Tamandua tetradactyla: one gene and its partners. The protein of the gene in region 3 binds, or shares a complex with, the protein of the main gene of each other region. Links are inferred from orthologs where the notes say so. Each region holds a gene or a part of one and is shown on either strand. Other genes may lie near its edges. The genes, in order: MED7, MED18, MED4 and MED13L.

The links.
Region 1: MED4 (region 3) and MED7 share a complex: the UniProt entries of both Homo sapiens proteins name them as parts of the mediator complex. The link is inferred for Tamandua tetradactyla from reciprocal best matches to the Homo sapiens genes MED4 and MED7.
Region 2: MED4 (region 3) and MED18 share a complex: the UniProt entries of both Homo sapiens proteins name them as parts of the mediator complex. The link is inferred for Tamandua tetradactyla from reciprocal best matches to the Homo sapiens genes MED4 and MED18.
Region 4: MED4 (region 3) and MED13L share a complex: the UniProt entries of both Homo sapiens proteins name them as parts of the mediator complex. The link is inferred for Tamandua tetradactyla from reciprocal best matches to the Homo sapiens genes MED4 and MED13L.

What each region holds. Positions count from the first base shown.
Region 1 is NC_135346.1:38,235,672-38,242,658, forward strand, and holds the start of MED7 (mediator of RNA polymerase II transcription subunit 7), read right to left. Parts: upstream 3,025-6,987; 5' UTR 2,915-3,024; intron 1-2,914. UniProt on the Homo sapiens protein: Component of the Mediator complex, a coactivator involved in the regulated transcription of nearly all RNA polymerase II-dependent genes.
Region 2 is NC_135328.1:197,874,010-197,881,014, forward strand, and holds the start of MED18 (mediator of RNA polymerase II transcription subunit 18), read right to left. Parts: upstream 3,028-7,005; 5' UTR 2,908-3,027; exon of another isoform or gene 2,782-2,907; intron 2,193-2,781; 5' UTR 2,121-2,192; coding exon 2,048-2,120; intron 1-2,047. UniProt on the Homo sapiens protein: Component of the Mediator complex, a coactivator involved in the regulated transcription of nearly all RNA polymerase II-dependent genes.
Region 3 is NC_135330.1:110,209,833-110,217,151, reverse strand, and holds the start of MED4 (mediator of RNA polymerase II transcription subunit 4), read right to left. Parts: upstream 3,028-7,319; 5' UTR 2,988-3,027; coding exon 2,863-2,987; intron 2,834-2,862; exon of another isoform or gene 2,383-2,833; intron 2,369-2,382; exon of another isoform or gene 2,204-2,368; intron 1-2,203. UniProt on the Homo sapiens protein: Component of the Mediator complex, a coactivator involved in the regulated transcription of nearly all RNA polymerase II-dependent genes.
Region 4 is NC_135331.1:16,692,187-16,699,029, forward strand, and holds the start of MED13L (mediator of RNA polymerase II transcription subunit 13-like), read right to left. Parts: upstream 3,019-6,843; 5' UTR 2,951-3,018; coding exon 2,879-2,950; intron 1-2,878. UniProt on the Homo sapiens protein: Component of the Mediator complex, a coactivator involved in the regulated transcription of nearly all RNA polymerase II-dependent genes.

The DNA of each region.
Region 1 (6,987 bases), on a different chromosome or scaffold from region 3:
AAAACTCCCAGTGTGTGCAGATGATATGATACTATATGTTGAAAATCCCCCCAAAAATCTATAGCAAAGCTACTAGATCTAATAAGTGAGTACAGAAATGTGGCAGGGCACAAGACCAACATCCCAAAATCAGTTGCATTTCTATACACTAGTAGTGAGCAATCTAAGGAGGAAATCAAGAAAAAAACTATATATATAGTCTTGGAGAACTGAAGTTGATAGCATGGGTCATTAGGCTGGGGCCTACAGTAAAGGCTCCTAGATCGTAAGTTCTTACAGCAGACCATGTATTCCAGAGTTGCAACTGTTATTTCTAAACTCTGAGATGTTGAGCTATTTGTGTATAACCTGGTCATTCCCTGGAACTTCAGGTATTTCTGTGACACCTGAGACTCAGAGTTAGAGCTCTAAAGCTATGAAAGTCAGCATTACCCCACAAAGGAACTGTCAAAAAAGTTGATAAAGTGATCAGACTTCGACTAGATATGAATGAAGCTGATCTGGATAAGACTAAGGCAAATCAGAATACAGGGTAAAGGATGATATGGTGTTATTTTAAAGCTTCAACTTCTGTGTGAGACCAAAAGAAGATAGGTTTATTTGGTGCAAAATTTATATTTTGTTAGCGCATTATCCAATTTAACTTGTATGGTAAGTTTATTCAAACACCATAACTACATGGGCAAAAAATGACAAATAATAGTGGGGTGGGGTAAAAAATTGGTAGACTGCAATACCAATTGAGAGGTATTGGTCAATGAGAGGGAGAGGTAAGAGATATGGGATGCATATTCTTTTCTTTCTTCTTCTTTTTTTTTCCTGGAGTGGTGTAAATGTTCTAAAAATGATCATGGTGATGAGTACAAAACAATGTGATACATTGTGAGCCACTAATTATATGTCAATGGACCTCATTGTATGCAAAAATATGTCAGTAAAAATATTTTTAAAAAAACAGGGTACACAAATGTTCCAGTGGTAGAATTTTCACCTGCCATGCAGGAGACCAGGGTTTAATTACTGGCCCACACACCCAAAAGAAAAAAAAAAACCCACAAAGAGAATAATGCAAATGCGAAGTAAAAGTGAGAAAATGTTCAGACCAATACATTTTTTCAAGTAAATAAAACCATCATTCATCAAACGTAAGAACATCTATGCAACAACTTCTGGAAGGTCTTTCTGCTAATTCTATCCCAGCAAGGAAGTGTTCTCAGATGGAGAACTCACTCACCTCAGCTCTCACAGAAGCCACCATCCCCACCACTGCCTAACTCCCTGAGATGGCAGGCCAATACAATCCAACAAAATATGGGAACACCACTTATGAAAGGAAACCAGTATAAACTTGGAGTTTAATTTGGCAATATGAAAATTTAAAACTCTAATACAGTTTGAACCAACAATTCCACTTCTAGAAACTGATCCTATAAAAATACCACTACAAATACACAAATGCAACTGCACAAGGATATTCAATGCAGCACATTTGAAAAGAGAAATAATCCACATCTATACAATACTATAAATCCATTCAGGAAAAAGGGGCTTGCGTGTGTGACAAGGGTCTTTATAGATGTGTTTTAATTATTTACGGCAAGCTTATGCTAGTTGCAAATATTTATAACCAATTTTTAAAACTTTTTACTTTAAGTTCAGACTTAAGAGAAAAGTTTTAAGAGTAGTACAAAGGACTCCCTGTATTCTTCACCCAGAAGAACATTCTTCAAATGTTAGCCTTTTCCTTCTTTGCTTAATCGGTCTCTCATCTCTTTACCCTTAATCACTTCACTAAGCATCCTAACAAGAATGTTCTCTTGTAACCACAGCATAATTAGGAAAATCAAGGAATTATCATTGATATGAAACTTCAAAGTAAAATTTTAGACAGCCTGGGTTTCATCACACACAAGATTGTTTTTAGATTAGGAGTCTTGTCCTGTGCTCCTGAGCATCTTCAGCTGCCATTTTCCAAAGGCCAACAGCATGATGGGTACCACTGTTCATATCTTCTCTAATTTAATCTTCCTAAAAGTCTATGAGTTAAGAACCATTATCAACTTCATTTTAGAGAGAGGATCCCAAGGCTCAAGGAGGGAAAGTATTTGTCCCAGATTAAACGGCTATTAAATGGCAGAGCAAGGAGTCTTTACCCACTTCTATTTAGCCCAAGCCCAAGCTCTCTTAATAAGTTATGACGCTTCTAATTGTGCAGTAGAAACGTGCAGAAACTATATTCATTTCTCTATCAACTCTAGATAACTTTCGAGGGCGATGGGAGTCTTATTTATTTTAGTAAAACAAGCGCCACGCATCATAGGCGGTTCTCAGACTCAAGATTCACCTTCTGGTATCTGCCCGGTTCTGGAGGACTTCAGCCACACACACTCTCTCTCTCCCTCACCCAGGAATTCCAGGGCCCCGCCCCCAGGGATAAGGCTCAGTAGGCTTACTGTGGTCAGGACCACTTTGAAGATGGTTTTCAAAATGTCTTCAGGCCAATCTGTGGTTATGGATGGATCTACCTTCCCCATGCCTACCCCCTTCCCTTAACTCAGCTGATTTCACAACTGCTCCAGACCCCATTTTACAAAAAGCCGGGGAGAGGAAATGACTCGCCCAAGCCCACTGAGCTTGGAAAACCTGAGGCTAGAACCCAGGGCTCCCAACCTCCAGACCGGTTCGACCTCCCCACGCCGAGAAGTGCCCAGCCGGCCACACCGAAGACAGCTCCCGGCCGGCCGGCCATCCCGCGGGCTCCCGAAGGAAGAGCGAGAGGAAGCCGAGCAAGCGTCCTCGGAGGCCGAACCTCTCCAGGACTCCCCCCATTCCCAGCCCAGCCCTGAGGAAACCGCGGGGTCCGGAAGGAGAAAGGCGCGCATACCCGAGCCTAAAGCGGTCACCGCCCACTCACCTAGCTCTAGGTTGACACTGGCAACGCCGTCGCCACCGCAGCCCAAATCCGATTTCCGGCCTCTTTCTCCAGGAAGAAGCCACTGGTGCTGCCCTCTGATTGGTTGCAAGAGCTGTCCTTTAACCGGAATTGTAGTCCCGCCTCAGATGGCTTCCTATTGCGCCTGCGCTCACCCCTCTTACTCCCCGCCTCGCCTGACTTTTTAGTTACGAAGTTGAGTACCGGGTGTGGATGCGGGTTTGCGTCTCTATATCCCCAACTTTCTTTCGGTGGTGGCAGCGGCTGGTCGCTCTGTTCCTTTTTTGTTGTTGTTAAATTTAAATTTTTTTGAAAATTTAACAAGGCTACCATATCCCTTACATAGAAATTAGAAAACACACCTAAGCATATAGTTTAAAAATTGTGTCACCTCTAACGCTTATAACGTTTATAAAAATGAGATGGGACTCTTTATGCTGTTTATGATTTTTTAACCTGAAAATATTTATGAACGTGCTTGGGAATCAATAATATAATGTCCATTTATATGGTGATCATATGGTGTCTATTTTAAAGCTTCAACTTCTGTGTGAGGCCAAAGGAAGATAGGTTTATTTGGTGCAAATATAATGTCCATTATATTATTCACCATCCATTCACATTTATTTTCAGTTAGGAATTCAGAGGTGTCTATTATATTTCCAGGCCAAAAAAAAATACAAATTATTAAAAATATCAGAATTGAAGATTTATTTTGGAGGTTATTTTCACAGGAAATACCACAAATTCCTATAAATTCGTGGGAGTCTTACAAGACTACCGTTTCAAATAATACTTCCAAGTAGAGATTTACTTTAGCAGAAAACGGAACAAGTTCGTAACTTTTATGAAAATCATAAAAGTATAGACTGCACAAGAAAATAAGATTGTTTTTCTGATAAAAAAGTTCTGTTTAATCCTTTCAAAAATAAGGTAGTTGATTTTTTAAAAACAACGGAGAATTGCAGACATGAGTGGAAAGAATAGTATAAACCAACTTCATGTACTCATCGTTTAAGTTCAGCAATGACCTACCTACCCATAGTTGTTACTTCAATTCATCCGTAAAAATTTCAGCATGCATCTTGAAAAGATAAGGACTCTTATTTTTTAAAACACAACCATTTTATCTCATTTAAAAATAAATTAGCAATAATTCTTTAATTGGAGACAAACTCCAATTGTCTCAAGATCCAAACAAGGACTGCTGGTTGTGTTGGCTGTGCCTCTTAACTAATTTTTTAATCTACATGCCCTCCTCCAACTCGATTTTTCCCCACCTCAATTTGTTGAAGAAATTTGTTTATTTTTTTACCAAATTTCAGTTAGGCTTTTGTTCCCTCTGCTGATATCAGAGTGGCCTATATTAGTCACCTTTAGTGTCAATTCTCAGGCCTCATTTACCCCACCTCTCAGCTGCATTTGACACATTTGTTTGATCATTTGGATTGCCCAGGGACTCAGTTCTCAAACTACTTCTTAGTCTGATAACTTCCAGAAGCCCATATCCCATAGTATTAGACATCTTGACTGTTCACTCAATTGCAAAGGATGAAAACATTACTCCTCTATTTCTCCCGTACTCCATGTTCAAACTACCAGCATTTTACATTCGTTCTATTGTGAAAATAAATAGATTCCTAAATATGCCTGCTTTCCACCATTCCTGCTGCTAAGATCCTGGTACATGCCACCATCCTGTAATAGCCTCCTAACTGGGCTTTCTGCTTCCACTTTTTGACCTCCCTTAATCAATGACAGATTTTGGTCACTCCTCTATTCAAAAATTTTCAAGGCTTCTCTTCATATCAAGGCACTACAAAGTCTAGTCATTGACTTTCTCCTACATATTAGTTCTGACCATTTTTCTCGAGGCTCACTCATCTTCGGTCACAGTAGCTTGATTTCTTGCCAAGCACACTCCAGTCTCAGGCCACTGATATTCCTGGAACTCTCTTTCCACAGATGTTCACCTGCCTCATCCTCTCACTTCACTCAGGTCTCTAGTCAAATCTAACCTTCTCAGAGAGTTCTTCCCCAGCCATTCTATATAAAATTGCACATGCCCAGTCATTCTCTGTCCCTTTACTGTGTGCTATCCTTCTTGCACAGAAATTATCATCTGAAATCATATTGTCTAGTGTACTTGTTTATTTTTTATTGTCTGTCTTCCCCATCAAAATACAACATTCAGGAGTGTAGAGTCTGTTTTATTCACTGCATATTCTCAATACCTAGAACAACAGTGTGTGAAATCAGCAAACACTCAATAAATACTTATTGAATAGATAACAAAATGAATGTAATCATCATTTTTAAAGGAATTCACAGTGTGATATTGATTAATATACTGCAGTTTATTTAGCCAAAGCCTCACTGGACAATTTTTTTTTTTACTTCTCAAATTGTGCTATTATAAATGCACTGCATGAACAGCCTGATGCCTATATGTTTGTGCATAGGTCCCATTTTTTTCCTGGAGATAAATTCCTAGAAATGGAATTAATGGGCCAAATGATGCATGGTCTTACAGCTAGTGGCAGGATCCCGATGCTTGACCCTTAGTCTTACCTTCTTTCCAATAAGCTACAGATGAATAAAATTCACGTCATGAGAAGGGCTAGTGAATACGGCATGTAATAAACATTTCTTTGCGTGGTGATATTTCCAGAATCTAAATGCAAAGTTTATTCCTTAAAAATGTCTCATATAACTTGACAATGAATGTAATTAATAATAAGTGGATCTTTTTTTGCATGTTTACTGTGTCAAGCACTTTCCTAGAAGGTTAAGGATAAAAAAAGATAAAGCCCTGCCTGCGAGTAGAGAGACAGACACCAATCACACAAATTTCAGATAGTGATAAGTACTGGGGGTAAAATAGATTAATGTGATGGCCATGTGGGTTTGGGGTTGGTTATGTTATAGAGGATGATCAGGGTAGCTTCTCCCAGGAGGTGATTTTGGAGCTGAGACACGAATGTCACAAAGAACCCACCATGCAAAGATCCAGGGTACCACAGGTGCCGACTGCTTGAGGCAGTCATGAACCTCCTGAGTTGGAGACACAGGAGGGAAAAGTGGGAGGAGATAAGGGGAGAGAAACAGACTGGGTCTGCACTAACAGCATTTTCCTGTTTTAGGAGCTGGGCACATTTTAAAGAGCATTGTTCTTTATCATTTGAGACTAAGTGACAAACGAAGATACTTGGAAATGTTTTCCTCCACTCTGTTGATTTTTTTTCTAAGGCTAATTTATTGGGCTATCTTTTACACAGAGTAAAATGAACTTTAAGTGTACAATATGATGACTTTTCATAAATGCACAGTGTTGTGAAACCACGGCCAGCACTACTCAAGATGTAGAATATTCCATGCCCCAAACAATCCCTTTCTTGTCTTGTAGTCAATCCTCTCCCTTCTCTCCCAGCCCCTGGTAAACATTGATCTGACTTCTGTCTTTATATCTTTGCCTCTTCACAGCACCATGTGAGTGGAATAAAAAAGTAAGTAGATTTTTAAAACCCGTCTTCTTTCGCTTAGTATAAAGTGCATCCATGTTGTATGTTTCAGCAGTTTGTTCATTTTATAGCTAAGGAGTTTTACATTGTATGCACCAAATTGGAGTATCCCTTCCCCAGGTGATGGGCATTTGGGTTGTCACCCACAGTTTGGGATGATAATGAATAAAGCTGTAATAAACATTCATGAACAAGTCTTTGTATGAATATATACTTTTCAGTTCTCTTGAGTAACTACATAGGAATGGGATTGCTGAGACTTATAATGTGTGTGTGTAAATAGATAAGAAACTGCCAAACTATTTTCTAAGGTGGCTGAGTCAGTTTTCATTTCCACCTGCAATGTATGAGAGTTGCAGATGCCGTGCATCCTCCCCTGCACTCTATATTGTCATTTTTATTTTACTTTTTGCCATTCTAATAGCTGTGTAGTGTCTATAATTTGCATTTCCCAAATGCTGAGCATCTTTCGTTTGCTCATTTGTCATCCGTAGCTCTTCTTCGGTTAATTGTTTTAATTTTTGCCCATTTTTC
Region 2 (7,005 bases), on a different chromosome or scaffold from region 3:
CTTGTAGCAGCACAACCTTCGTTCATAAGTATACACCATTGGTTGCCAATCTACTTCTCTATCAGTGCATCTTCTGCCACCTGCATTCATCAGGCATCATGTAGAAGGCCCAAAGTTCACAATCCATCAACATTCTCAATTTTAGATAATTTCATTGTTTCCAAGAGACAGAAAACCAATAAACACACCCTTGCCAAATAGGAAATCTAAATCTCCTCTTAACTCTTGTCCCTCACCCCATTATTTACCTCTGCTGTTGCTGTGGCAGTGCTGATGGCTTCCTTTTGAACATAGCTCATCGCATGCAACAGCAGTTTTCCCCTTGTAACCTGGACTTAAACACTCTTTATACAAGAATCACATCTTTGAAGTAATTCTTATGAGAGCTCATTCATATTTCTAGTGTGAATCAGTGGGACACGTAGGTCTATACCACCCCTTTGAATCTTGATCATCTTCAATATGCTAACACTACTTCTAGACCCATTAGAGAATCACCTTCGCTCCTATCTATCCTCTTACATTCCTCAAACATTTTAAATGCTTAACAAGTGCTGGTTCATTTAACATATACCTACTGAAGGCTGTGCCAGACACTGTGCTAGGCAGTAGGAGGCCCTGCCCTGCAGAGATTAGGGCTTAGTAGTGAAAACACTAAAACACTAAGTAAACAAATTAACAGAAATACAAAGAAATAAAAGAGAGACGGAGTAGAGAGCAACTGGTGGGGATGAAGGAAAGAACTTTCTGAGGGGGTGGAATGGTCAGAGAAGGCTTTTCTAAGGCAAGAGACAATTGACCTGAGACCCAAATGATGAAAATGAGAACGTCATTTGAAAGCCTGGGAAAAAAGTATTCAGAGTAATTTTGAATATGGACTAGGTATTACATGACATTAAAAATTATTCATTTTGTTAAATGCTAATGATGGTATTGCGATCATGGAGGAAAATATGCTTTTTTTTAAGAGATACATATAGAAGTGTTAAAGGATGAAATGTTATGATGTCGAAATTTTCTTTAAAAATATCAGCAAAGGAAAACAAATGAGGCAAATATGGCAAAATGTTAGCATAGCTAGATGATGAATATGGAATATTCAGTATACTAGTCTATTTTTTTATCTTCATATTTTTTATAATTTTTTTTTTAAAGATCACCGGCTGTTGTATGACAAGGGACAAGAGAGGAGCAAAAGAGGAAGGAACATTAGAAGCAGAAGGTTAGTAAAGTAGGTCAGACAAGAGATGACAAACTAGGGCAGTGGTATTGCAGGTGGAGAAAAGTCATATTTAAAATACATTTTGTAAATAAAGTAAAAAAGACTTAGACTGGATGAAGGAGTAAAATGAAAAACAGATTTACTCCTAATTGCTTAGCTTAAGCAACAGGTAAATAAGAGGGCCACTTACTGAGATGTAGAAGAAGGAAGGAGGAGCAAGTTGGGAAGTAAAAATAACCCTATTCCCAGCCTATTAAGTTACTGAATGAATTATCTGATTTAAAGTCTAAACTCTCCACTAAACATTATATGACCTTCTGAAAATCATTACCTTCTCTGTTCATATCCTGAAAAGGGTCTGGATTACACAGGTGAATGCATTTGTTAAAATTCATGGAATGTCCACTTAAGACTTATGTACTTCATTGTATATAAATTTTACTTCAGAGAAAATAACAAATTTTGAACTCTAATTTTATGCATGCTCAAGTACTTAGGAGAAAATATACTGAGGTCTTCAACTTACACTGAAATGCATAAAAAATAATATGGACTGATGGATGGAGAGATGGACAGATACATAATAAGGGAAGTATAGTAAGTGAAAACTAGAATGAGGGTAGCAAATATACAGGGGTTCACTGCAGAATTCCTTGAAGTTTTCTGTATGTTTTAATTTTTTCATAATAAAATGCAGGGACAAAAAAAAGGTGGCTACGGAGTGCCAGAAACTGCAGGCTGCTTTTGTATTAACAGTCTCCCATCTCCAGGGAAACTGAATAAGATAAAGGGAGACAAATCATCCAAGTTCTCTGGTTCACTTACCTTGCAGCAGGTACTCCATCATGTTAATGGTGCCCCCAGTGACAGGCATCATGGTGACTGGAGGAGCCTCCATTATGTCTGACTGATTAAGTCAAAGACAAAAGAATCAGACTCAGCCCCCAATCAGGTAAGGCACAGGATACACCTGAGAAGAGTTAGAGTTGTTTATACATCAGTGATGGAGAGATGATGGGTCTGCTTGCGTAACTGGCCTTAATATCAAAAGATTCATCAATTTTTTTTTGGTAATTGCTATGTTAGACAGGTCTTTTTTCCAAAAATTGATGATACAGAAATATACAGGACTGACCTGCTCCAGCATAATGTTCTCGTCCCAAGTTCTAAATCCTCCAAAACCTAGCTGTGTAATCTTGAGCAACCTCTCATGCTGGACTCAGTGTCTTCCTAACAGTAATGAGGCAAACGATACCTGACCCCCAAGTCTGTGTAGCTCAAATGACATAATGCACGTACAATAAAATTCAAAAGAACTAAATTTTAAGAAACGTTGTCTACCCTTCCTTTTACACACGAAAATACTGAAACCAGGAGAGAGGCCCGAGGATACAGAGCAAGTCAGTGACAAAGCTCAGGCCAGACTGAAACCCAGGGGTTCTGCCTCCTAGACACTGAAAGCGCCTTTTAAAGTGAGTGGGGGGGGGGGGGGGGGAAGCGAAGTCCTTTTAAGATGAGGTTTACTCCTAAATTGGCTTCCAGAACACGTGCCCACTTACCCACTTACACTAGAAATACAACTTAGCGGGCGCTCTGGCCTCTTCTCGCAAAGTCAGGAATTACAGCCACCCACGCACCTCGGAGCCTTTAAGCACAGCTCCAAGCAACTTCCAGTCCCACGTTACCTAAGCAGGGAAAGCGCACGGCCAAGCACAACCACAGTAACCACTCTTCTTCCCGCTTCCGGTAGGACGGCAGACGTCTACCAAATCCCTCAATGTACGGGTGCCGAGAGGGCACGAAACACCGTCTTCCGCTGTGCAAGCAGACGAGCATGCGCAAGATCTGATGCTGTTGTATGGAAGATGGCGGCGTTCCTATGGGAATGATCCGCGGTCGTGACGTCATTTTTTTTCCAAGTTCGACGACCTGGAGAGGTTTTTATGTAGGAAATCTCCTGGGGCTGATAGGACTGAAAAAAGAAATCATGCCTAAACTTTGGACTCAGAGCAATGCTTCTCAGAGAGGAAAAGAGAACCTGGGGAAGGGAACTGCAAAGTAATGAGAGGAGAAGGGGAGAATGTTATAAAAGAAAGACATTAAAAAAAAAAAAGCCATTTTTGGGGGGTTACCCAAGGGAGAAAAATGAAGACGCCACTGTTATTCATTACTGAAAACTTTTATAATGTTCTTCTCAATTAGGGAAGTCAGTAATACACTTAATGTTTGTTCACTTTTCTTTGTAAATGTATGTTATACTCAATATAAAAATAAAGGGAGATAAGTAAATTCAACAAATACTTATGGAAAGCTGCTTTTATATCAAGCACATAAGATGAGGGCAGGGCCGGGACCAGGGTGAGACCTGTGAGGCACTCTCCTGGGGCACAAATTTGAAAGAAGTGTAAAGACAAAAACAAAAACAAATGACTAAGCGATAAAAATGATATTTTACAAAGTTAAAGCAAAAAATCCATAGTTAACAAAATATCAAAATTTAAATTTTAATCCTCACAGCATCCTGTCATTTTACAGGTGGGAAAATTTAGGCAATGAGATGTTTATTAACTTTCAGGGAAGGAGTGAGACTTGAATACAAATCTAAGTAGCTGACTTCAGAGTTCACACTTTTACTACAGTATATTGTCACTCTAGATATGGTTCCCCTACACTATCTACCATTCTTTTTTTTTCTTCTTCTTTTTTTAAATTGGGAGTCTTCTGTGTTCTAAATATTCTGCTACTTGTTGATTTGACTCCATTTCTACCCTCAGAAGAGTTTATAGTCAAGTTGTCGCTATTGGAGAATTAAACTAAGGAGACAGCACCATGTAACTTGATAAAATGGGTAAATATAAAGTAGCCCAGCTGCTTTGGAAGCAAGCAGGGTACTTGACCCATCCTGGGAGGATCAAAGGGGGTACCCTGAAAGAGGTAATTAGTACTGGATGAACTTGAGGTGATGTTGCAGAGTTCTGGGAGTTCTGAGAGGTTGAGACCTCAACCAGCGGCTGGCTCCGTGAGGGCTGTTAACTCAGTCACAAGAAAGAATTTAAGAGCTAATCAGTATGTGCAGCCAAAAGCTTAATAAACTAAATGCCAGACAGCCTGGGGAGTTCTCAGCTGGATGCTGGAGAGCCCCAGGATTTCTCAGAGACCTCATCCAGGACCTGACATGATGCAGGTTCTTCACTGAGCCACAGGAAATAATTTGAGGACTGGTCAGTGTTTAACTGTGGTAGTTTGAAACTGTTATGTACTCCAAAAATGTCATGCTCTTTTCCTAATCCAACCTTGTGGGGGCAGACATATTGTTTAGGGTGGAAATTTTGAATAGATTGTTTCCATGGAGATGTGACACACCCAATTTTGGGTGTGACCTTTTGATTAGATGGAGATGTGACTCCACCCACTTCAGGTGGGTCTTGATTAGTTACTGGAGTCCTTAAAAAGGGAGACATTTTGGAAAAGGACAATTGCTTCAGAAGCAACTTAGACACAGACCTTTGGAGATCAGGACAGAAATAGCCCAGGTGTTAAATAAGAACTCACAGAAATAGCCAAAACCTGAAGAGAAGAAATCTCTGGCCCCAGGAGATGCTAAGCTAAGAGGTGAGACCCAGAGTTTTGTCCCAGAACGAAGTATGATCCCACAGACGCTTAGAGAGGAAGCAACTGGAATCAGAAGCTGGAAGCAATGAAACTGAGAACAACCAGCAGATATTAGCCACCTGCCTTCCCATGTGACAGACATTGACCTTTCTTTGGAGTCAAAGTATCTTTCTCTGGATACCTTAGAACTTCAAACTTGTAACTTAATAAATCCCCTTTGAAAAAGCCAATACATTTCTGATAAATTGTATTCCAGCAGCTTAAACAAATTAAAACAATAGCCAAAATGTTTAATGACTAGCGAAAGTGCACCCTCAAAGGGGGTGAGCATAGGTGTTCTCCAAAGGAGGAGAGCACTCTGAGATTGGGACTACTACATTATAAGACTTAGAGGGGCCCTTCCCCTTCTATTAATGTTAATAAGGAATTGATGAGCTGCACTTTTCTTTGGTTCTTTTCAGGTGCTGACCTGAGTGAGGGCTAGATATGTGCAGGCCAAGAGGAACGGGTCCCTCCGCCCACCCCTTCCCTTTCCAGCTGCCTCAGAAAATTAAATAAGAGTTGGCCAGACAGTGAATGGCAGAAAGGAAGTTCCAGGCAATGGGAATATTATGTACAAAGGGATATCAAGTTAAGTAGAATTGGTACATAGATAGAATCTATGGAAGGGGTAAGAAAGAGTCTGGAGAAGCAGATAAGGCCCAAATCCTGGAGGACTTTGTATGGCAGGCTGAAAAACAGATGTGAATTTTAAAAAGATCACAGGGGTTGCAATATGGAGAAAATCTTTGGAAAGGAGACCAGTTAAGAGCTATGGATCAACTCTAGCTAAAAGAGTACTCCAAGAGAGAAGACAGATTTAAAAAATATAAAAGGTGTAATGATTTGATGACTAAGAGATAAAGGCAGAGAGAGAGAGGAAGGAGTCACAAATGTCTAGTTTCTACCTTGGGTGGCCATGGCAATTCTTTTCTCTGAGCTAGGAAACACGGAGAAACGTGAGTGGGTCAGAAAGATGAGTTCACATGTATACACATTGAGTATGAGTGTTTATGGGGCACTCAAGTAACAATGTCCTGCCAAAATTTAGGGGAGAAAGAGCTGGGCTAGAGGTAGAGTGTTCATAATTCTTGCCTTATAGATCATAGATGATGGCATGAGAATGAATGAGATCAACCAGGAAGAGTGTGTAGAAGAGGAGAAGATGGCCAAGGACTGGCCCTTGCATAAGCCTCTTACAGTTATTAAGGCTGCATATAACTCAGGATTTAAGATGCACCCCTGACCACACTAGTGATTCACAAGATTGGTCTGAGTGATAAATTCTCAATGACAAAATGACTGGAGGAGGATGTAAAAATACCGGGCCTCTCCTTTCCTATTCAGACACTAACTTCAGAACAGAAAGACCAGTGAATTATAGGTTCTTTGAGGCACCATAGTATTTATCCCAAAGTTTAGTTGGCATTTCACAGTAGATGACATTTGGTTAAATAATTTTTTTTAGAGGGATGAATAAGAACTGGGTGAACATGGGCAGGCCACGGTGGCTCAGCAGGCAAGAATGCTCATCTGCCATGCCAGAGGACCTGGTTTTGATTCCCAGTACCTGCCCATGTAAAACAAAAAACAAACAAGCAAACAAAAAAATGGGTGAACAATATGGTAAAATATAGATGAGGCCTTTGAGTTATAGGGATGGGTTTCTTTGATAAGATATAAGACTCGTTGATTAGAATTGGGCTCAAACCTGCCACTACCACTATCCTGCTGTGCAACTTTAGGCAACTTACTTCCCTTCTCTGAGCCTCAATTTCCTTTTGAGTAAATTGGAAATAATAATAGTAGTTTATAAGATGAAGTTTGTAAAAGTAAAAGGGCATAATGTTTATAAAGTATTATTTATATACTTTATATATTTAAAGTAAACATCTCAAGGGGAGGAATCCCATATTTCTTTATACATGTTCTCAAAAATTATGTTGATCACAATTATTGAGCAGCTGCTACATGCTAGTCATTTTATGCTATATAGTTATAAATCTTGTAAATACTACTAAAAGCTAGATACACCTTCTCCACTTTATAGTGAAGGAAAAAGAGATTCACAGAAGTAAAATGACTTGCCTGAGTCCACACAACCAATAAATGATGTTTACAATCTATGCAGA
Region 3 (7,319 bases):
TCAGAAAAGACAAGTAAATTACGTTACACCAAGTAAAGCTCAGAAAAGTAAAGAATTTACAGGGCTCTAGAGCATAACAGTGAGAAGTAACAGCCCATTCATTGAATGAACCGAAAAGGCAAAGATTTGAAGATCTAAGATGAAGACCTACTCAGAACAAGAGGCAGCGGCAACTATTTCCTGGAGGAGTGCCACTACCAAGATAATATATTTACAGAAAAGTTCATTGGTACCATCCATACCATAAAACTGATTTTAAAAAAAAGGACACTTTAACTCCATGAATTTCAAACTTAACAGTACCATCAAGATTCCTAAGCACAGTTGCTTGAAGTCAACTTTCAGGTTAGAATGCTCACAGAAGAAATAGCTCAAAAGCCATAGTTCAAGCAGAATGAGATCCAGAATTCAAGAAACTGGAAGAACTGGTTTAGACAGAAGCAAAAGAAGTATTTTCCAGCTAAGTATTAGTTGTTCTGAATCAAATGGAATTCAGATTTGTATCAGAACAACATTTGTATCAAAGTATTTAAGAGACTTAGTTTGCTCCAGCAATGAGTTTAAAGTTACATCTACACAGAGCTGTGCTGAGGTTGAGAAAACTGAGTTTTTCAAATGAAGAGCATTTGTGGGATGATTTAGAGTTTAATAACTTAAAAAGAAAAAGAGCACAATGTGAACTAAACGAAGCTTCTATTTGCTGTCCCCAAAACAGTTACCTTATACAGTTCTGAGTCATAAATAATTTAACTGGAAACATTATACTACCAACTCTCAATCTTGTTAGTGTCCTTTTCCTAAGAAATAACGTGGGTCTTCATTCAAGAGGATTAACAAGGAAACTGTTAAGTTCTCCACCACAATCTACAAAACCAGCAAAGACCTAGACAGAAATAGCACTTACATTAAAATGCGTAAACATTTACACCAAGGCAAAACATTAAGACAGCTGCCTGTGCTTATGAGTTTTTCATTCACCACTGACCACAAATGAAGATTCCAACATTGTTTGCCATCAGGCAGTATTCGAGTTTAATACAAACTAAACACTGAATTAAACACATAAGCTACATAAGGACAAATACTGGTGTCCATGTGTTTGAGGTTTTTCTTATATATTTAATATCAGGCTAACCTAGTAACTTGGTAAGTAATATGATGGCAAGAACTAAATTTACAGCAATTTAGTTAGGTATATTTCAAAACACAATACGTAAAATTTATTCTAGAGCTATCAACAAATGTTGGCTACAGAAAAGATGACACGAGCTGGATTCTGAAAGACGAATGAATGATTCACCAAGTAGGAGATGGAGAATGGCAGTGAAGTTGAGTAAGTAGTACTTTTTGAGGGTGGGGAGTACTAATCTTGGAGTGAAGGGTATAGACTGATGTGGTGGTACAGGAGGATAACAGAGTGGATTGAGAGGAGATAGGGAAGGACTGCACAGAGTGAATTAAAAGAAAATAGGGACTTTACACACTGTCAGTGAACAGTCCTGACACCTATTTATATAAGATAAACAGCTTCTCCCTCTCTTCCCCGGGTTCATACCCCTGCAAAAGTCAAATACAAACTCCCCAATCCCTGCTCTTTCTTGACTAATCGCTAGAGCTCTGCCCCTATAACATCACAAATGCACAGTCTCAGGTCCACTGTAACCTTTGCTACGCACCTGCTTGGTTGAGCATACATTCCTGACATGTTCTCCCATGTGAGCCTGCAAGTCATGCCACTCCTCTCTATTCCAGGACTTTTAAGGACTAATAAACTCTTCTTTCAAACATCTCTAGTTATCACTTGTCCTGCTATTCCTGGCTATCTATATAAAGAACCTTACAACACACCTACTTGCACACTAAACTAAGGAACCTGGACTTTACCTCATCGGACAATGGGAACAAACCCATCAAATGTTTTTAAGATAAGAAGTCACAAGAGATGCCTATTTCAGAACGATAACTCTGCTCTTGGGCAATACAGAATAAAGTGCAGAAGCATGAAGGCAAGTAAAGCTGTCGGGAGGATACCTTAAAAAATAGTTGTGACAGCGGGGATGGAAATGAGAGCAAATCTGAGCAACATTTCAGGAGATAGAAACAATACAATTTAACACCCAAGTGAATGTGACTGGATTACGGAAGGCTCCAACTTTACAGTACCATTAAGGGTGACAGAACATGGAGAAAGACAATCTCCTACCTCTAGGCCACACGCTGCACTACATCCACCCCAAACAACTTGGAATTAATTACACCAGCAAGTCGCGCCTTTGTACTTGCTCTTCCATCATCCCGCCGCCCGGTGAGCCTACTGAACTCCGTCCTGAGCAGCCCTTTCTCCAGGGAGTCTTCTCTGACTACCTAGGCATCGGAGCAGACCTGGTCCTTATGCTACAGGAGCCCGCAGCCACGCCTCTGATAAAAACAAGCTCCGCATCGAAGTCGCTGTTCACACGTTTGCCTCTCCCTCTTGACACTGAGCTCCTCCAGGATGGTAACCAGACTCCCGTTCACTACAGCCTTCCTATCGCCTGGCACCCAGGGGGCGTTCCATAAATGCTTGTTGGGTGTTGGAGGACCGGGTGATGTCCAAGACCCAATATGGCTATCGTAGCCTTGGGATTCCAGAGTTATTGTCATTATTCATATGCGCTGATGGGGAAAAGCGCGGCCTCGGATCCCGGGAGGGTTGCGGAGGCCACATCGCGGATACTGGTGCACTGTCGTTGGGGGTACGTGCCGGCGTTGCCCGAGCACGACCCTTCCCGCCGAACTCCAAGAAGCTCATCGCGGGGTTGCCCAGCTCCGGGGTCCACCCTCCCGGCCCTACTCCACCGGCCTTCAGGCCAGCGGCTTTACCTCGACAAGACCTCCAGATCTTCCAGCGCCGAAAACAGCCGCTCCCGCGTGCTGTTTCCGCTGGCCGCTCCCGGGCCGCCTCCGAATCGATCCTTCTCCTTCTCCAAACTCGAAGAGGCCGCCATCCTCCCCAACCGCCAGTAGCCGGCGCATGCGAGCGTCGGAAATGACGAGCTCGGGAGGCGGAAGGAAAGGTCACCGAGGCGAGGCGAGGGAGAGTCCTGACCAGAGCGTCCCCAAGGTGCCCGGAAGTACACTGTGGGTTTTGGCGCCATCTGCTGGACCAGAGGGGATCCTTGGTCCAAACCCGACCGGCCAGAGCGGTACCTTAGTGAGAGTACGTAGGGTTTTTCCATCGGGAGCTGGAGATTTTGGCTGAATGGAAATTAAATAATCGCCTACTGCTTGTGTCAGTTTACTCGTGAAATCTGCATGCCTATAATGCTCTTCTAACCCTCCATCCTTGCCTTTCGAGGAGGCTGTTTCCGCAGAGGCTGGGCTCCTAAGGATTTCTTGAGATGGCTGTTGAGTAGAATGAATTAGTATAATATGTCAGTAGTGGTTAATGAGAACCGTTTACATGAAGAATTGGATCACACATCCGGTGAGCTCAATCAGAACCCAAAGCCAAAGCCGAAAATCCACTTTTGCCCACTTAAGTCTCAAGTAGCTCACCTCTCCTGGAGACAACTGTGGAAAAGGGGATTTTCCTACCAGGGAAGCTTAAAGCTGCAACAGTTTGGGGAGTGAGGACCCCATACCAGGTCCCTGTCATAGAGATGTCACCTGAAGACTTCTGAGAGTAAGGCTGGAGTATTTGCAGGATCATGGCCCGTCCTTTTGGAAGTACTGAACCTGACTGGCACTGTGCACCCAGAAGTGATGCTTCCTTTGGGGATTGATGCTAAATAAATTCTCTCGCTAGTAATTGCGGTATAAACCAGAATGCCAATTTATTTACTTATCGGGAAAAATAATAACGCCTTAGAGAATCCTACACGGGAAACCAAATCATCCCCCAGAATGCTGGTTCATGACCTTGGATGTGTGCCAGTTTGAAAGGATTGTGTACCATACAAAAGCCATGTTTTAATCCTGATCCATCTTGTGGACCAGCCATTTCTTTTAATCCCTATTCAGCACTGTAGGTTAGAATCTTGGTTAGATTATTTCTATGGAGATATGACACACCCAATTGTGGGTATTACCCTTTGATTAGATGGGTATTACCCATCTATTCCAGCTGGGTCTTGATTTGTTTACTAGACTCCTTTAAAAGAGGAAACATTTTGCAAAAAGCTTCAGAGCCACGAGAAGCACGAGAGCCCATGCAGCCAGAGACCTTTGAAGATGAAGAAGGAAAATGTCCAGGAGAAACTTCTGAAACAAGAAACCTGGAGAGAAAGCTAGCAGATGTCGCCCTGTTCACCATAGGCCTTTCCAGTTGAGAGAGAAACCCTGAACTTCGTCAGCCTTTCTTGAGTGAAGGTAACCTCTTGTTGGTGCCTTAATTTGGACATTTTTATAGACTTGCTTTAATTGGGACATTTTCACAGCCTTAGAACTGTAAACTGGCAACCTAATAAATTTCCCCCCTTTAAAAGCCATTCTGTTTCTGGTATATTGCATTCTGGCAGTTAGCAAACTAGAACAGGTGGAAACAAATGAAGACAGTTGGATCTTGATGAATGCTTTCAACAGGTTTTGTATCTCCCCAGTGTAAAGATATTTAGTGTTTAAGAGACTGTAATATTTGTGTTAATTGGTAGCATGGCTCCTTCCCTAGAGAGTTCAGGAGAGGGACTCCCACCTTTTGTGTTCGGACCATCCCCCAACTTCAGGCAATAGAATAAATTAGATGTAAGCTTTCTTAATTGCAGTAGCATTCTAAGCATGCCTCCCAGAATCTCCAGTAAGTAATTTCTTGCGTTAAGTTAAAGGTGCCAAACTCTTGTAGTATGGTGATTTTGTTTACTTAACTCTGAAAGGAAAATTTTGGTCTGTGATACTGGTGAGCCCTAGAGGGGAGATCTTATTAATATAAGTTCCCACATAAATTCTGGGAGAGTTCCAAATGGTTAAAAATGACCAATTATAGGTCCTACTTTACTATACATTTACTATGCATCGAGGGTCAGTTTATGGTGATTATATGTTTATTGTGAACTCTAAAGCATCTCATATTTATTGCAAATTCATATGCACTCTGAGCATTGCCAACTTTCTGAGAAGTAATAACATCTTCTACAAATGAACTTTTTTGCAAAATATGCAGCTCTAGGTGTGATAAATAAAATACATGTTATTTCATAAAGCTTTCATTTACTGAGTTAATGGTAACTTTGGATGCTAAGCATTTTCTTAATCTATTAAGATTCATAACCTTATAGTTATCCTTGACTCCTCTCCTTTTTTTTTTTTTTTTTTTTTTAATTAACCATTCACCACGTCCAATCCTTCAGGAGATCAAGATGGTTCTGCCTTCAGAATGTGTCCAGGACTTGGCTTTCCACCCTTTCCACTGCTACCAGGTCTATACCTCCTCATCTCTCGACCTCATTTGCTGAAGTTGTCTCCTAACTGTTCTCAGCTGCAGACAGAGTGATTCTCCTAAAGCTCAAGTTTAGATAATGAAAATGAAATGCAATCCTAAATGTGGACAGGATCCAAGAATGGAGGAAAAAGGCTCAGAAGGTCATTACTGGGGCATAAGAAAAAATTGGCATGCAGAGTGTAAGCTTTTTATCAACGCTAAATTTCTTGAACTTGATAACTGCATTTAAGGTGGCTACATAAGTGAATAGCCTTTTTCATAGGAAATGTACATGGAAGTACAATCCATTGGCCCCAGAAGGCCACATGGTCAACTTCCTCACTTCCTCCAAGACTTCCTCAAATCTTATTTCATCAAAGATGCCCACCCTATTTACTATTGCAGTCTGACTACCACATTCCATCATGTTTATTCCTTTTTACTTTTTTCCCATCATGCTTATCATCTTCTAACATCCTATACAGTTAAGTTGATACGGTTTTGCTAATTATGTCTTCCGTTATATGTAAGCTCCAAGAGGGCAGAGTACTTTGTCTCTTTGGCTTACTGACACATTTCCAGTGTCTAGAATGATGACTGACACAAGTAGGCACTAATAAATATCATTGGATTTATTGTTGACTGTGGTGCTGAGATCACCAAAAGCCAGACTCAAATAGGAATAAAAGACAATAAAAAAATTATAATGATCTGTATTTTTGCCTCTGAACAGCAAAACTTTATTCTCAATATTTCCTTTCCACATGCTCCTTGAAGATTCTCAAAAACTCCAAATATTTATAACTTCCTCAACCAAATATGGAATATTCTGCAGCCATGTGGCAGCCATTTTCCTGGGAGCCATGCAACTAAAGAAACATAGACTTTAGTCTATGTAAAGAATCCAAGCCTCTTCTGTTCTGAATGCTTTTCTCACAGCCAGTTCCCTAAGTAAATTTGTAGGCTCATGTTCAAGATCAAGCCTGCCAAGGGTGGGATGGAGAATCAGTCACAGGCATTCCTCTCCCAGAAGTCTGGGCAATGAGAGAAGACAAGCAGGCTGTTGCGTTCATTAGCTTCCCTCTCCAAGAAACAAAAAACCTTTAGACTCCACCTCAAAGTCTGGGTCTCAGAAAGTCTAATCCCTAGTAAAAAATATTACACAATTTAGGATGAAGCTCTAATACCAAGAACCACCATTTATGGTTTCTGAAACCATAAAACACCTCTGGAAATGCCACCAGTGGTTGGGTTTGAGCAAACTGATGGCTTTTAGGGAAGGAAAACCAACTTTTAAATCAATCTCAAGAATGTCTCAAAATGTGCCATTTTAACTGCACTTAATAAACCAGATCATCTCAGTTAAATCCAAATAGGGCAGCACTACATCAGTAGAAGTTTCCTGTCCTCCTTACACTGTGAAATCTTCATCAGAATACTCCTATCTTCCTCATTCCAAAGTCACAACACAACAAAAACCACCCATTGTCCAAAATCACTCAATGTTATTAAAGTCATTAGCCTTGCAGGAAGTGTGGCATTTGACATTGACTCCCTACATTCTTGTGCCTTGAGAGGAAAAACAGTTTAGGTTGAACCTTTCATTGCCTTTAAATATTTGTGGTGTGGTTGCAGTGGAAAAGGTCATGTAGAACTAATCAGGCTTTCTAAAAGTAAAGTCTTATCTCTTCCCTGAAATTCTCTAGGCTTCCTTGGAAACTTGCCACCTCTCAGTACTCAAAGGAAAGGTGGGCATCATCACTGGCCTCTTTTGATAGATTCATTTATTCTTTCAACAGTGTTTATTAAGCTCTGTTTTTATACCAGGTACCACACTGAAGGCTGGCGCTATAAAGGTGAACAAGACAGCAGTTGACAATGCTTCTTTGAGGAGATAGAGGCAGAAACTCATAAGAGCTAAGTG
Region 4 (6,843 bases), on a different chromosome or scaffold from region 3:
CGGGGTTGGGAGAAGGTGGGGAGAGAATTTAGGAAATTTGATGGCAGATGGTAGAAATGTAAAAATCGGAAAACAAAATCAGTAAAGCACTGGCAGAAATCTTAAGGCACCTAATTGCGCAATCAACTTTTGCTAAGCCACAATGAACCCCTCAAGGTAACTGAAAGTGGGTGGGTCATTACTGTGATACAGAACTTTAATCTCTAGTTTATATTTCAATCTATACCAATGAGTATCTAGGTAAATTCACTATAAACAACTCTGCTCAAAGAAACAGCAGACCAAAAGAAAAAATATGCTAGTATCAAGCATATAAAGAGTTCTTATAAGTCATGCTTTATTTTGAACAGGAAATGAAATCCCCTCTGGAATTATCAACTATCATATATAATGTATTAGGGAACTTATTTTTTAATACTTTATGTTGTTGCTGCATGTGATTTTCAATGAAAATTCTTAATTTGGAATCAGAAAAATGTACAATAATAAAGTTTTTTTTAACTGATAATTTTTAAAAATTAGCACCCTTTATGTACAGGGAAGGCAACAAATAGACTCTCTAATGTCTTAAACAAATCAACATACCCATTTCTGTGGTTACGATTTTAAAGTTACTACCTGAAAAGTCATTCTTTAAAAATATACATATATATTAAAAAATCAGTTCCTTGTTTAAAAAGATTTAGGGTAGAAATACCCAAAGCACAACCTTTGGTTAGACATTACAAAGTACAGAATCCTCTCCTATAAAACTATTTGTTTCTCCAAAAGAATCTCAATCTTTTCTCTACATGACTCTCATTTAAAAGATAAAAGAAGATAAAAGAAATGACACATCCTAGAGACTGCCTATACATATCATATATTGTCAGTTGTCTAAGGAATCTACCATATAAAAATTAGCTACATATACACAAGCCATTAGTCCTCAGCATGATCTATGGTAATTTGGGGGATCTTTCTTCACTAATATTGGCCTATTTGGTTATTTTAATTACCTGTGAAAGTGTCAGTGTGGTCATCCGCTGCCAAACAACACTTTAAATATCCCTTAATCAATATCTGCTAATCTATGAAACTCCCTGGACCTGGCTGATGGTAAATGGTAGACAGAGGGGGGAAAAAAAAGAGGAGGAATATAGAGTTTTATTCCCATATGGTAAAAAAATCTTCTGAGTAAAAAAATCTACTGAGAGTAAGAATCCCTGCATATAACTGAATTTTACGATTAAATATCTGAATAAAAATGCTTGAAGAAAAAGAAAGAAACCTGATCCTACTATAATGGAAGCACAGACACTATGTCACTCAGTCTTTGTAGGTTAAAAAAATCGCATGTGTTGTTTTCTTTGAGCTGCATAAATACTGTAACATATTTAATAAAATAGCACTTCCATTTGAAAAGTTGGCATGAATTTGCATTTCTTCACTGGTCTCAAAGAAAAAAAAATCTATGCCACCCATAATTAAATATAACTAATTACACTTTGAACACTAAATTATTTATCCAGTATTAACAAGGATTAAGAGGAAATGATGCTTCTATTTACCACAGAGGTTACAAAAAAATAATTTCCAAAATGAATGCTCTCCAAAAAGCAGTCACCTCAAAACAGGGTACACAACTTAATATAAGTTGGTTTTTGTTAAGGCTAAATTAAATAAATCCTTTAGCCAATTTTCTAATTATATTCTACCCCTGAAACATAATTACCTTACATCTGTTTACAAATCTTTGCTCAATATTTAAACAAATTCGTATTCTCACGGGCACATAGCTATACATACAGTAACTCATGCACAAAGCACATATTTAAAGACCACGCACTGCAAATTATTAGCTTAAACGCCAGGTTTAACAATGTGAATGTTTCCAGAGGTAGGTAATACGACCCAATAAAAAGCAAAGATGGCATTTACCACCAACTGTCACTGCCAACACCAGGAAAGAGTTGGGGGAGTCCTACACGTTTTTAATTTCGACGAATCTAGACGCTGTCATCGGGTGCCAGGTTTCTACGAGAACAATTGACACCCCAACTGCTTCAAGATTAAGGCGATTCAAATCCGAAGGAAAAGTTGTCAATTATCAGAGAGAGAGCGAGCGAGAGAGGCCAAGGCAGATAAAAGCGATGTTATCACACCGCTCAGCTTGTTGCTTTTGTGTATGTGTGTGGATTCGTTGTTAGGACAGAGAAAACAGTTTTTAAAAGACACGGGAAGAAAAAAAAGAAAAAGCCTTCTCCACCTTCTACCGGCTCGGTGCCTTGGCTCCAGTGTAGTAAGCCCCGAGAGGCAGGCGGCTGTCGATGTTTACAATCTCAGGAGCTTCGGTGGCAAGAGTCCTTTACTGACACAATCGCATTCAATCAACTGCTTTCGGGCGAAATTGCAGGTGTCATTACGGAATTAAAAAAAAAAAAATTCAAAAGGCAGGCGAGCGGGCAGCCGATCCGACTGGGGCGAAAAGGCTGCTTATCTTCGGCGCGGGCAGCAACAAGGCAAAGCCTTCCACACTTAGGGAAAAGGGGGGAAAGGGGAGGGGAAGGGGGGGTGTGACTGCAACAGAGGGTGGGCGTTCGAAGTGCGACCCAGAATCCGCAGCTCTGAGACTTCCACATGCAAATTCCACGCCGAGCGCCGTGCTCACAAATGATTTTTAAAGAGCCAAATAAACACTGGATGGGATCCAAGGCGAGGAGAGACGATCCAAAAGGGGGAGAATCGACGAGAGGCGAACGGCGGGGAGAAATGCGGGAGGGGCGAAGTCGCGGCGGCGGGAGGAGAAAGTTGGTCGGTGGCGGAGGTCGGCGACTGAGGTCGGGGGACCCCCACCCCCACCCCGGCACGACCCCCTCCTCGCAGCTAGGCTACTCACCAGCGAGAAGAGGTTGGAGTGACAATCCTCCAGGCTCGCCCCGTTCGCCACCCAGTTCGCTGCCGCAGTCATGATCCTCCGCGAGCCCGGCCGCCAGAGCGGGGCATGTCGGAGCGAGGCGTCCGAGGCGAGGCCGGGCCGGGCGGCGGCGCCTCGCCGCGGAGCGCGGGGCGGCCCGGCAGCAGCAGCAGCCGCAGCCGCAGCCGCCGCCGCCGCCGCCGCCGCCGCCGCCGCCGCCGCGCTGAGGGAGGGCGGGAGGGCCGGCTGGCGGGCGGGAGGGAGGCGCCGCAGCGACGCCGCGCCGGGGGCGGCGGGCCCGGGCTGGCGTGGGGTGGGGGGGAGGTCCGCGGCGGCCGCGCGGCTCCTTCCTGCTCCGCGGCGGCGGCGGCTTCGGCGGCGGCGGCGGGGGGCGCTGTCCGCGCTGCCCGGCGCCCTCCCCGCCTCTCAGGGCCGCCGCTGCCTCCCGGACCGGAGATGCGGGCCGGTCGCCGCCTCCGCCTTCCCTGCTCCTCAGCCGCCGCCGCCGCCTTGTTTATCTCCAGCCACCGACTCCTCCTCGGCCCCCGCCGGCGCGTGAGGGGTGGCGGGCCCCGGAGCCGCCGCCGCCGCCTCGGAGCCGCCGCCGCGGAGCGCGAACTCGCGAAGGGGGGGGTGCGGACGAAGCCAGCGGGCGACCCCGGCAGCCGAGCGACGTCCCCTCCTTCCTCTTCCTCCCCCACCCCCCCCTCCTCCCCAGTCAGCCTCGCTTCTCCTCCCTCCCCCGGCTCGCTAGCTCTGACAGCAATGGCGGCCGCCGACCGCGGCTCGGCCCGCCATTGGCTAGCGCTGCGGCACGTGACGGGCGCCGGCCGCGCGGGGGGGCGTGCGGGGGCGGGGCCCAGAGCGGCGGCGGCGGCAGCTCGCGGGAGGCGCTGCTGAGCCGAGTGCGGCGGATTCTCAGGCCGGGAAGAGGGAGGGAGACGGAGAGCCAGAGAGGGACAGAAAAGAAGTGCTGGCGGCCCGGCTTCCCAGCTCCCCAGCTCCCCAGCTCCCCAGCGAGGTGCACCCTGCCGACTTGAGGTTGCCGTGGGCTGCCCCGCGTAGGCGCCGGGCCCCGCCCCTTCGGGGTGCTGAGATCTTTGCGGAGTGCCCCGGGGTGCTGCGGGGCGCGACCACGGACCCCGGAACGCCCGCTGCGGCCGCAGTGGAGAGCACGGGGTCCCCTCCCTTGTGACCCGGCCTCCCAAACCGGCTGGCGTGGCGGAAGCTAGCTGTGAGCCACGCCGCGAGTCCGAGTGTTCTGGCGAGCGTCTCAGGGAAAAACCTGACTCCGGAAGGTGGGTCTGCATTTTATAGATGAGAAAATTGAAGCACAAAGAAATTAAGTCACTTGCCCGAGGTCGCACTACAGGGAAAAGGAAGAGCCGACATCGGAATCCAGGCACCTCGCCCGGGATATTCACAGCTGCCGTTTACTGAGCGCTTACTGTATACCAGGTACTAGGCGTTTAATACATAAATGCTTCTTGAGACCTCACTGCTAGGCACTGTGTGCATCCATTCATTCTTATTCATTGCACAAAAGTTTCCTGAGCGCTTGCCATCTGCCACAATATGTTATAACTGATTTCCCCACTTATGTGCCAGGCACTGTGCTCAGGCTATGTTGGGAGCAGACCTACCCTCCTGACTCCATTCAATAAACGTTTCCTGAGACTGTATAGCTTTGGAATTCGGTTGGCGCCAGTATGAATAGTCTCTGTCCCAGTCTTCAAAGTGTGCACTCCCTGCAAAGGTGGGGAGGAAAAAACTTCACTAATATGTCCTCAAACGTGGAAGAGCTAGCTCTTTCAAGGAGACTAGACTAAAAGAGAGGAGAGAGTTGGAAAGGGGATTAGTTAAGAGGTGAACTGAGACTTGGAACTCTCCCAAACACTGCTAAAGTAAAACCCATGAGCAGCATGTTATACTACCTGTTATTATCACAACTGACACTATGTTACAATTCCGCGGACACTGTGTTATGAAGGATGTGCGTACATTATTTCACATGATCCTCATAACAACCACATAGAGCAGACACTTGTTATTATCCTTGGACTGTAATAAAGTGAGGATCAGAGGTATGCAGTGACATCTCCAAGGTATCTCAGTTAGTGAATGGCAGAGCTGGTTTCAAACCCAAATCTGTTAGGCTCCAGAGCTAGGGCATGAATCCAGGAGGCTCTGTGGGCAGATGCTAGACCAGAAGCCAGGTGACTGCTGGCCTGGAGCTGGCTTTGCCTCCCTGATGATGTTGCTTTAACCAAAAGAATTTAACTCTCATTTCTAATCTGTCAGAGATGGATCCTAATTACTGATCCACCAACCTCAGGGCAATGTCGTGAATGTATATTAAGATTACTGGTTTTGAAAGTTTAGAAAAAATGCCAAAGCAGTTTGTCAACATGCTTGGTGTTACTTAGGCCTAAACAATAAGATGGTACGACAGTCTACCCTTATTCACATTCCATGTACTTACACCCCAGATGGGCTTCATCCTACACACCTACCTGGTTACCAAGCGCTCATTCTTCAGCAATTTAAAAAAAAAAATCTCACAGAGCAAAATCCAGTATTGCAGAATAGGAAATACATACGACTTTTAAATGTATAAAAAGATGCTCGACCTCATTCATCATAAGAAAAACAAATTAAAACCAGAATAAGTATTGGCCATATTTTTAAAATTTAGATACATGTTGAGGGAAGCAAGGCTCTCCTACATTTTACTGGAAATATAAATTGGCACCACAGCTTTGGATGTTGATTTGATGAATATCAGATTTTAAAATGTACATCCCTTTGACCCAGCAATTCTACTTCTAGGAGTTTATCCAACAGATAGACTTGTACAGAAGCACAAAGACCTGCAGTGCAAGGGCATGGCATTGTTTGTATGGTGAAATCTAGAAACAATGTATGTGTTCATCACTTGGGAAGTGGTTAATAATATAATCTCAAGCAACCACTAAAAATACCCAGTTAGCACTATGTGTACTAATATAAAATAATTTCAGAATATATTCTTAATAGCGGTAACTCTGGCAGGTTACACAAGACACTATTATCGGTTGCCTCTATGGAGGGGGGACTGGGGACCTGGAAGTCGGTGGGAAGAATTACTATGCTTTTTGCATTTCCTTTTCTTTTTCTTTTTTTAAACCAAATGCATATATTACCTATTCAAGGCAGTATGTTATAAACAACAACAAATAAAAACCTCATCCAAGGAGATTTCTTTGGCTGTCGAAGCCAAGGCACCAAAATGGGAGAAAAAAGGCCAGAAGTGTGGAGTGTGGTTGCCCTGGCAACATGAGTACAGAAAGAGAACCCAGGGGAATCCGATTCTAGTCCCAGGTGCACCCCTGAGCAGCCTGGTGACCTTGGACAAGCTACTTAATCTCTCTGGGCCTCAGTTTCCTTCTGGGTGAAAAAGGGTGGCCTGGGTGAGCCTTAAGGTCATTTCTAACAATGAATTTTTTTGATTCTCTGCACAGTTGAGATCACTGATTAAGATCTGCAGAGTTCTTTCTCAATAGAGAAAGCAATGGGAGTTGACGGAAGGCCTCAGGAGATAAAATTAAAACAAAAACAAAATCCTCAATTATCTAATAGGAAGTATTAAAGAAAGGAACTAAGCACCAGGGCTTCTAAGTGCAGTTCCCTATGTCAGAGACACCTCTTAAGCATCCTCGGGACTTAGTTTCTCCATTTGTGAGAGTGCCTTTCCTAGGCAGGAAACAGAAATTCTACTCAGCACAGGTCTCAGGCCGCCTTCTGAGAATGACAGGTTAGTTCCTTTTCATGGTTACCAAATGTAATGGCAGAGTGAAAATGGAAGCAAAAATATGACCAAAGGAGGAACCATCTATTAGGAAGACTAACCGGAGGCCTCAGCAGCTGCAGAGAGAGCATTTTGTAAATGCTAAAGACGCACCTGGGTT